Xenopus tropicalis: one gene and its partner. The main gene of each other region encodes a partner of the protein of the gene in region 2 in a complex. Links are inferred from orthologs where the notes say so. Each region holds a gene or a part of one and is shown on either strand. Other genes may lie near its edges.

What was found.
Region 1: the proteins of npr3 (region 2) and nppc are in contact, whole or in part, in a crystal structure (PDB 1JDP), measured with the Homo sapiens proteins. The link is inferred for Xenopus tropicalis from reciprocal best matches to the Homo sapiens genes NPR3 and NPPC. Residues at the interface, in NP_001191304.1 of Homo sapiens: Asn110, Tyr138, Ala141, Pro142, Arg145, Ala161, Gly163, Phe164, His166, Glu170, Tyr171, Tyr204, Lys208, Leu209, Arg211, Tyr214, Phe215, Leu217, Glu218, His221, Glu222, Gln225, Ile233; in NP_077720.1 of Homo sapiens: Gly109, Cys110, Phe111, Gly112, Leu113, Lys114, Leu115, Asp116, Arg117, Ile118, Gly119, Ser120, Met121, Ser122, Gly123, Leu124, Gly125, Cys126.

The regions. Positions count from the first base shown.
Region 1 is NC_030681.2:101,241,981-101,246,319, forward strand, and holds the start of nppc (C-type natriuretic peptide precursor), read right to left. Parts: upstream 3,070-4,339; 5' UTR 2,946-3,069; coding exon 2,853-2,945; intron 495-2,852; coding exon 231-494; 3' UTR 207-230; intron 1-206.
Region 2 is NC_030677.2:200,603,068-200,606,894, reverse strand, and holds part of npr3 (atrial natriuretic peptide receptor 3), read left to right. Parts: intron 1-2,939; coding exon 2,940-3,051; 3' UTR 3,052-3,827. UniProt on the Homo sapiens protein: Receptor for the natriuretic peptide hormones, binding with similar affinities atrial natriuretic peptide NPPA/ANP, brain natriuretic peptide NPPB/BNP, and C-type natriuretic peptide NPPC/CNP.

The DNA of each region.
Region 1 (4,339 bases), on a different chromosome or scaffold from region 2:
GGCCATGCCCTTCAGGAAGAGAACTCTGTGGATAAGAAAATGACTTCATCCATGATATCAGCCTTATCGCTGCTATAATTACTCATTAGTTACCTTTACACGTACATTAGTTAGTGTTGCCTTTAGCCACAGAGCGCGGAGGTGGCGGAACAATGAAATACTGGTAGCGCTACTGGCACAGGAGAAAATGGAAAATACCAACTTACCGCCACTAGATGGCACTCCAGGTCTTAGCACCCCAGGCCACTCATAGCGCCAATACGGTCCAGTTTGAGTCCAAAGCAGCCCTTAGAGAGTGCTTTCTTGTTGATCCCCTTGTACTTGCGAGTATTGGGGTGCTCGTTGAGTAACCTCGCCCAAGCTGCCCGCGACCTGGTGTCGGCTCTCAAGTCGCGCAGGAGTCTGGCACGGAATTTGGGGTCGATATTTCTATCCCCTCTCTCCCCAGAGGCCAAATATTCAGCCAGCTCGTCCCCAAGCAAAGCTCGTAACGACTGCAAAGCGAAATGGGAGACAGTAGGGAGAGGTTAGCAGAGGGCAGAATAACGGTAACGCTATGTCTGTACTGAGGGGGCAGGTGGATGCGACATTTCCCACGTACACTATTTCACTATACCTGAGCTTATATAGACCTCTGTCCGATATGGCAGTCCAATGGAGAGTGGAGGCTAATACCCTCACTAATGCCCCTGAGATTGCACTGGGGCACCGCCCGCTGGCACAAACAGAAAGCGAATGGGTCACGTCTTGCACATCTCTTGCCCTCAGACAGGGGTAAATAGAGCAATAATAATAAGCGGCAGCTATATCACCCCAGATAATTCCGCTGACTAAAGCCTGGACTCTGATCTGATTCCATTATGTCATTTTGCATTGGCAGCTCCTGCTGATTTAACCTCTTCCTTGCCAAACTACTGTGAGCGTCTACTGCACCTGTTGCACAGACATTCTGCACCCATTTATCCACCTACTGCCCGAACCTTAATGGCAGGTTCCGACACAACTATATTTATATTTGCCGTGTCTAGGAGGAGACACTTTAAGGAGAGAGTGGATTCATTTTTAAGAGGACTGTTTTATAGCCGGCAGATGTGTGGGTAACATGGAGTTACCCCAGCTTTAAATATGCCAGACACCTTTTGTACTAATTCTGGGCCACTATGAACTCCATGAAACAAAAATTGTCATTCATTCATTCACCTCCCACCCCCTTACTGTGCCAGCCATTCACCTACCCTCTATCCTTGTGTTCCATAACTCCCACCATAAGTACTTCTCCCTCACCCAAATATTCATTCACTTATCCACACACTAGTGACCCCACTTTCACCCACTTACCCTATCCGACTCTGCTAACTAATGCTTTCACGAACCAAGCAACTCACTCTGTTCTGCCATTCACCTACCTACTGGCAAGCATATTCATTCATCCACTCTTCCATGGCCTTAATAATGCCTCAAGTCATTACCCGTGTTTCACTCATTCTCCCATCACTAACCTATTCCCTCACCCATGCATTCGATAATCTCAACCATCAAGTCACTCACCCGTCACCAACTCGCAATATCTCTTTTACCTAGCGACCCACACACACTAAAGGTGGCCATACACGCACCGATATTATCGTACGAAACCTCGTTTCGTACGATAATCGGTGCGTGTATGGCATGTCAGCGAGCCGACCGATATCGCAGGAAGCTGCTGAAATCGGTCGGCTCGCCGATCGGCCAAACTCCTCCACTTTATCACCCACCCATCGGCTGACTTTCTATTCTGCTTCTCCCACCCATTCTAGCCCTGAACGGTTCTCTCATTCTGTCACTTACAAATGATTCCATTCCATCCCTCACCATTTCTCTTTTCAGTCACTAACTCTCCCATTCAGTAGCCGGTTCCCCAATTAAACAGGAGCAAGAATAGCTGTATACTTTCATGTGTGCCAGTCAATGATTCCTTCACCTGAAGAGATAGAACTACTTCATGCAGAAGCCAGATTGGAAATAGCTAATCAGTATAGATTGCACCCTTGGGGTAAGGTTACCTCAGGTCACAATAGTGATTTTTTTTATATATCATAACATAAATCAAATTACGCTGATAGGGAACAGTTACCCCAGTGATGTTGCCTGTTATCCCTAGCGTTCGCCCTTGCCTCTCCATCCATGAATGTATTAGTTAGATCGGAGCAGTAGCCATGCACCTAGGTGCCAGTACATCCCCTGGTACCCACACTGACTCCTACAGAGCTCACTCAGTGGCCCGGTAACGGCTCCACTCCTACTATGTACTCCTGCTTTCACTCCAAAACACACATTAGCAGGGCAAACAGCATGGCAACATGGATGACTTGGTTAGCAGTTTAGTTAAATGCTGCATACCCAGCTATATTATTTTAATCATTGGCACCGAATGCGCCAGAGCAGCGCAAGTCAAATTAAATGAATGCACTTCTGCATTCTTATTCATACGCATATGCACAACAGGGCAAAGCCAGCGTACTACTGCGCCCTATCCACAGGCAGTGCCAAATCTGAACAGTTTTGTACCCTGCCGCTTGTCAGGTCTCTGCGCTCTCTCCCTCTCTCTAGCCTTCCTATGTCTGGGTGCCCAGCACTGGTACTACATTTTCACCTTGCAACTGATTCATGTACACCTGCCCCTTTGCCCAGAGTAGATGGACTAGTGGAGACTGCACAGGCGGACTAGTGGCCGGTCTCTGGGTTCGCACAGCCGGACTAGCGCCCATTCCCTAGGGACTGCACAGTAGCTGGGAGACGTTTAGAGGAAGGAGGGGCAGATGCTGAAAGTGAGAAGGAGAATGCAGAAAGTTCGCTCCCAGGTGAGCACTTACCTTCTGGTGTGGCTGAACTGCAGGTTTCGCTTCCACCCTGACACACAGCACGGCCAGCATAATTCCCCAGCCCAGAATGAGAGACACATGCATCCTGACTCTGGGATTTAGCCTTTTCAGCATACAAAAATCCCCAAGTGTTACTGTAATAAAAACACAACTAGCAGAAAATCTGGAGTTGGCTGCGAGTCACCCCTCCTCCTCCTCCTGCTGCTGCTGCTGCTCCTGTAAGACTGTGAACTGATATCAACACCCCATTCATTTTATAAAGCATCTGGTGACGTCACCCTAGAGATAGGAGGTAGAGCACCCACCGCTTGGGGTTACCCTCTAACTCATTTTCTCATGATACATTGCATGTCCCAGCCAGGTCATTAGTTTACTTTCTAGGACTTTTTTTTGGATGGGTTTTAAAGGATTTTATATCAGTTAGGGATCACTCCTGTGGCTCCAAACAACTTATCCCATTACACATACAGACATATATATATATAGAGAGAGAGAGAAAGAAATATTATATAGATAGAGACATATATAGATAGATATTATATAGAGACATATATAGATAGATATATAGAGCGATATATAGATAGATATATAGAGACATATATAGATAGATATTATGTAGATAGAGACATATATAGATAGATGCTATATAGATAGAGACATATATAGATAGATAGAGAGATATATAAATAGATGATGATAGATATGCGTGCCTCTGTGTGTGTATATAGTTATCTGGCACTTTCAGGAAATATATATATCTTTGTGAGTCTTTGTGTGTGTAGTTATATATGTATGTATAGTTATCTGGTACTACCAGGTAATAGATACCTACGTTTGCCTCTGTGTGTGTGTATATATAGTTATCTGACACTTTTAGGCAATTTATAAACCTATGTGTGTCTTTCTGTGTGTATATAGTTATATATGACTGTATATGCATGTGTATACAGTTATGTGGCACTCCCACGCCATATATATGTGTGTATGTTTACAATTAACCCATATATACATAAAGTATACGTATACATATATTCATACATATATATGCACATATACACACATAAGCTAATGCTCATTTGTTTGGAACTGGACTTTCTCAGAATCATCTCTTTCAAAATACATTTCAATACCAGGTCCAACCAAGCTGTTTTGTGACTTATGGGGGAGTATGCTTCGTACTTATTCTGTAACACTTGGGCACCAGAAGGGCTGTACCTGGCTGCAGTGCTCAGTATCACATTCGCGGTGTAAATGACTAGTTTTGTGTTTGAGCGCTTTTATTTGGGGGCTGTAGAGGAGCCATGGGTTTTGCCATTGCAGCCACAGACTCCCCTCCCTGACATTGCTGCGCTCTTTGCTTGATGCCTTTGGCAGCTCTGTTTACATTCTCAGTGCCGCCACTTGTTCCAATACCTCTGGGAAAGTCAGGTAGAAAGCGGGAGATTCTTGCCTTGTACAATCCATGGCGGAGCTGATGT
Region 2 (3,827 bases):
TTTTAAAATATACACATTCCAGGGTTTAAAATTGCCCTGTATTCAGCATAAATTATACAGAGTCACATAAAAACCTCGTAGACATTGCAAATTTTCAAAATTCTTCTTAATCAAAAACTTTTTAACCATTATAATGGATATTATGGCCACTGTGTTAGAACATCACACCCAACATATAAAAATACAGTGAAGTTTTAAAGTGCAAATTAGTGCAAATCGATTAAAACCAGCTAAAAACTTAATACAAAACTATTTAGGAAACTAGTTGCAGGCAATACAATTTTGAGAAGGGATTCCTTCCATCCAGAGCATACTGTAAAGTCAATACCATATGCACAGTTGGTGAGACTTTATAGAAATTTCACTAATTATAAAATATTTAAAGAACAAGCGAGACAAGAGTGTGAGAGGCTCGAAGAGAGAGGATATAATAAAAATGATCTGCAAATAGCGTTACACAAAGTAGGTGACCTAATAGCAAATAGTAACAAAAATAGAGGTAAAAAAAGTAAAATGGAAACCTCCAAAACTACAAAAGTTGAAGAGATCAGGTGCATTCTAGATTTTGGGGTGCAATATAAACAAATAACTAAAGTTATTAAAAGAAACTGGAATATTTTACAGGTGGATCCAGTGTTAAAAAAGCTGAATATGAGACCAGGTGTTATAAGTAGAAAAGCAAAATCGATAGCGGGATTTATAGCCCCAAATAAATTGAAGAGAAATAACGATAGGAAAGTGACATGTTGGTTAGGTAATGTAAAAGGTTTCTTTCCATGCAAAGGTTGTAAAGCCTGTAAATATACTGGTAATAAAAAAACATTTTTCAGTAAAAATAATGATAAAGAATTTAGTATAGATACTTATATATCATGTCAAACACAGTATGTTATCTACTGCCTACAATGTGAATGTGGTTCTATATATGTGGGACGGACTATCAGACAGCTAAGAACAAGGTTAGGAGAACATCTGCGAGGACTGAAAAATAAGGATGATGATAACCCTTTATATAAACATTTTAAATATTCACATGAAGGCAAGCAGATGCAGTTTCAAATGTTTGGCATTGATAAAATAAATGAAAGAAGTGAAGGAAACCTGGTTACTAAGCTGTTGCGGTTAGAATCTAAGTGGATATTTACATTAAACACTGTAATACCAAAAGGGATGAATACAAAATTTGAATTAAAACCATTTTTAGTGTCATCCTGGAAATAATTTGTGTAGGAGAAATATGGGTTGCAACCTATAGCACTAAATAGCACCAAATGATCTTAAAGGCAATTCTTCTGGGTTTGAAAAGTGACTTATGAGTAACTGGTCGGGGTCTGAATATAAGATAAAGCGAATGAACAAAAAGAAAGAGTTTTTAGCTGGTTTTAATCGATTTGCACTAATTTGCACTTTAAAACTTCACTGTATTTTTATATGTTGGGTGTGATGTTCTAACACAGTGGCCATAATATCCATTATAATGGTTAAAAAGTTTTTGATTAAGAAGAATTTTGAAAATTTGCAATGTCTACGAGGTTTTTATGTGACTCTGTATAATTTATGCTGAATACAGGGCACTGTTTAACCCTGGAATGTGTATATTTTAAAATATTGTTATAATATATGCTCAATGCAATACCCTGTACAATGTATAGGGTAGATGTGGATGGGTATAAAAGGGATGTGACATCAACACACCACACCTCCTCTGATGAAGCACTCAGTGCGAAACGCGTTAGGAGAGGCACTAGGATGCACCTTGTCACTGTTTGGTATAGTATATATCTGAATTTGTTTTGCATTATGTTTTGAATGAATTTTTGAGCCATTAAAATGTGGTTTTATTTTCACTGAATCAATTGCTGTTATTTGTATACTATGTCAGGACCTATCAGTGAAATATAAAATGTGATTTCCTTTCCTAAATATATACTGTTGTGATTGATTAGATATAAAATGCTGGGACTGTTATCACTGTATTGTCCAGCATGCCTGGCAGTTAGGGATGCACCAAACCCAGCTTTTTGGGTTCGGATGAACCCCGAATCCATCCCAAAACAATATTTGGTGCAGTGGTTCTCAACTATGAAAATGGTCCCCTAATGGGCTCAAAACCAAAGGAGGTTGCATGAAACTTTATGGTGAATGCTTAGTTGCTATCATAGATATCTTTGGAACTGTAAGAGAATGACCATTTTATATATATGTAATTATATGTATTACAAGGTTGGGCTTTCATTTCACAAGACTGAAGACCCAGAATCTGTTTAGTAGGGGGAGTTTCACTCCGATTTAGGGTTCTTCTCAAACCCTTCTATGAAACCGAAGACATTCTCTAGCCTCATATGTTATTTCTGTGACCCAGTCACCTAAAGTAAATATAAATAAATGGAGGCCACTCACTTCACATACAAAAAAAGCAACATAGGTGTTTGGTGCAAAAAAACCCAAAACTGTATAGGGTACCGAAAGCAGTAATTTTAAATAGGATAAGGGTTTGCACACCCCAACGTTCTCGATTCCCCTAGAGAAAGGCTCTTTGCTGAAACGTTGGGGTAATTCTCATCTTTGGCAAGTGTATCCGCTATCATGCGTGTCTCTTTTTTGCCTATGCACATTTTGTGGTATGTATTATCTTATCATTTTATGTGTTATTTTCTGTAATTTTGTAATTAAAATTGTTTGCTGTTAAATCTTCTGCATATTATAGAAAGGATTTTTTTTTAATACTACCACTGTGCTTGTGTTTTCTGTGTGCAAACCCTTATCCTATTTAAAACCCAGTCACCTGAAGTCCAGGCTAAATTGACTCTCCTTCAACACAGATATTATCATTGGGTTATTTAATGCAGTTTTTATTTACAAAAACATATGGAAAAATCTCCTCTAGTAGCAAAAAGTGACACTTGACCATCTCACCATTGACATTCCTCCCGTTGCAGAAAGAAATACAGAATAACTATCGAAAGACGAAATCAGCAGGACGACTGCAACCTAGGGAAACACCGACAGCTTCGGGAAGATTCCATAAGATCTCATTTTTCTGCGGCATAAAGAATAGAAAACAAACAAAAATCTTTAGGAAGAAGCAACCAAAGACATCATTACGTGTGATGGGGTTCTTGCAGAAGCTATTTTTTAAGGCAGTAGAATCTTATTTCCATTCTCATATTGTTTTCAGAAACTCAGGAATGATCGATTAATTGCATTATGCCATGTGGCCTTTCATCTTGTGAAAAACGGGCACGGTTTGACAAGGTTATTACGATCTGTGCGTAGAAATCATTGGGCGATGTGTGTCGGACAAAGATAGGCACTTTTTTAAAAAAAAAATAATGTTCCTTTTCAACATGTTTGTCCAGAGCTTCATAGGAAAAACAAACCCAAATTGGCACACATAGTTAACACTGAAATTATTTTTTTCGACACTGAAAATTTTTGCAGAAGGAAAGGTTGTTGGAATGCAACCGCGCAATTTTGATTTGATAGTGCGCAACCTTGGCAGGTACTGGCAGCAGTACGGGTTGTATTCACTCCCATACAGTAGACGTTGTGCGGAAGAGTTAAAACGAGCACGCCGGGCCATTAAACCCAAAGCCTCTGCACGGAATATACCATTCACGTATCTTATTTCTGCTATGAATTCTCGAGGTCGATGGGTTAAAAATACCTGTTTTTGCCAAAGTACACTGAAGAGTTCATGTTGACTCTGGCGAGCTGAAAGCAAACACAATGAAGCATTGATGCAAATGAATCTGTCCATCTTGTTGAATTTTTCTGGTTTGCTCAATCTTGATACGGCTTAACCTGCGGCATGACAGATCGGCTGT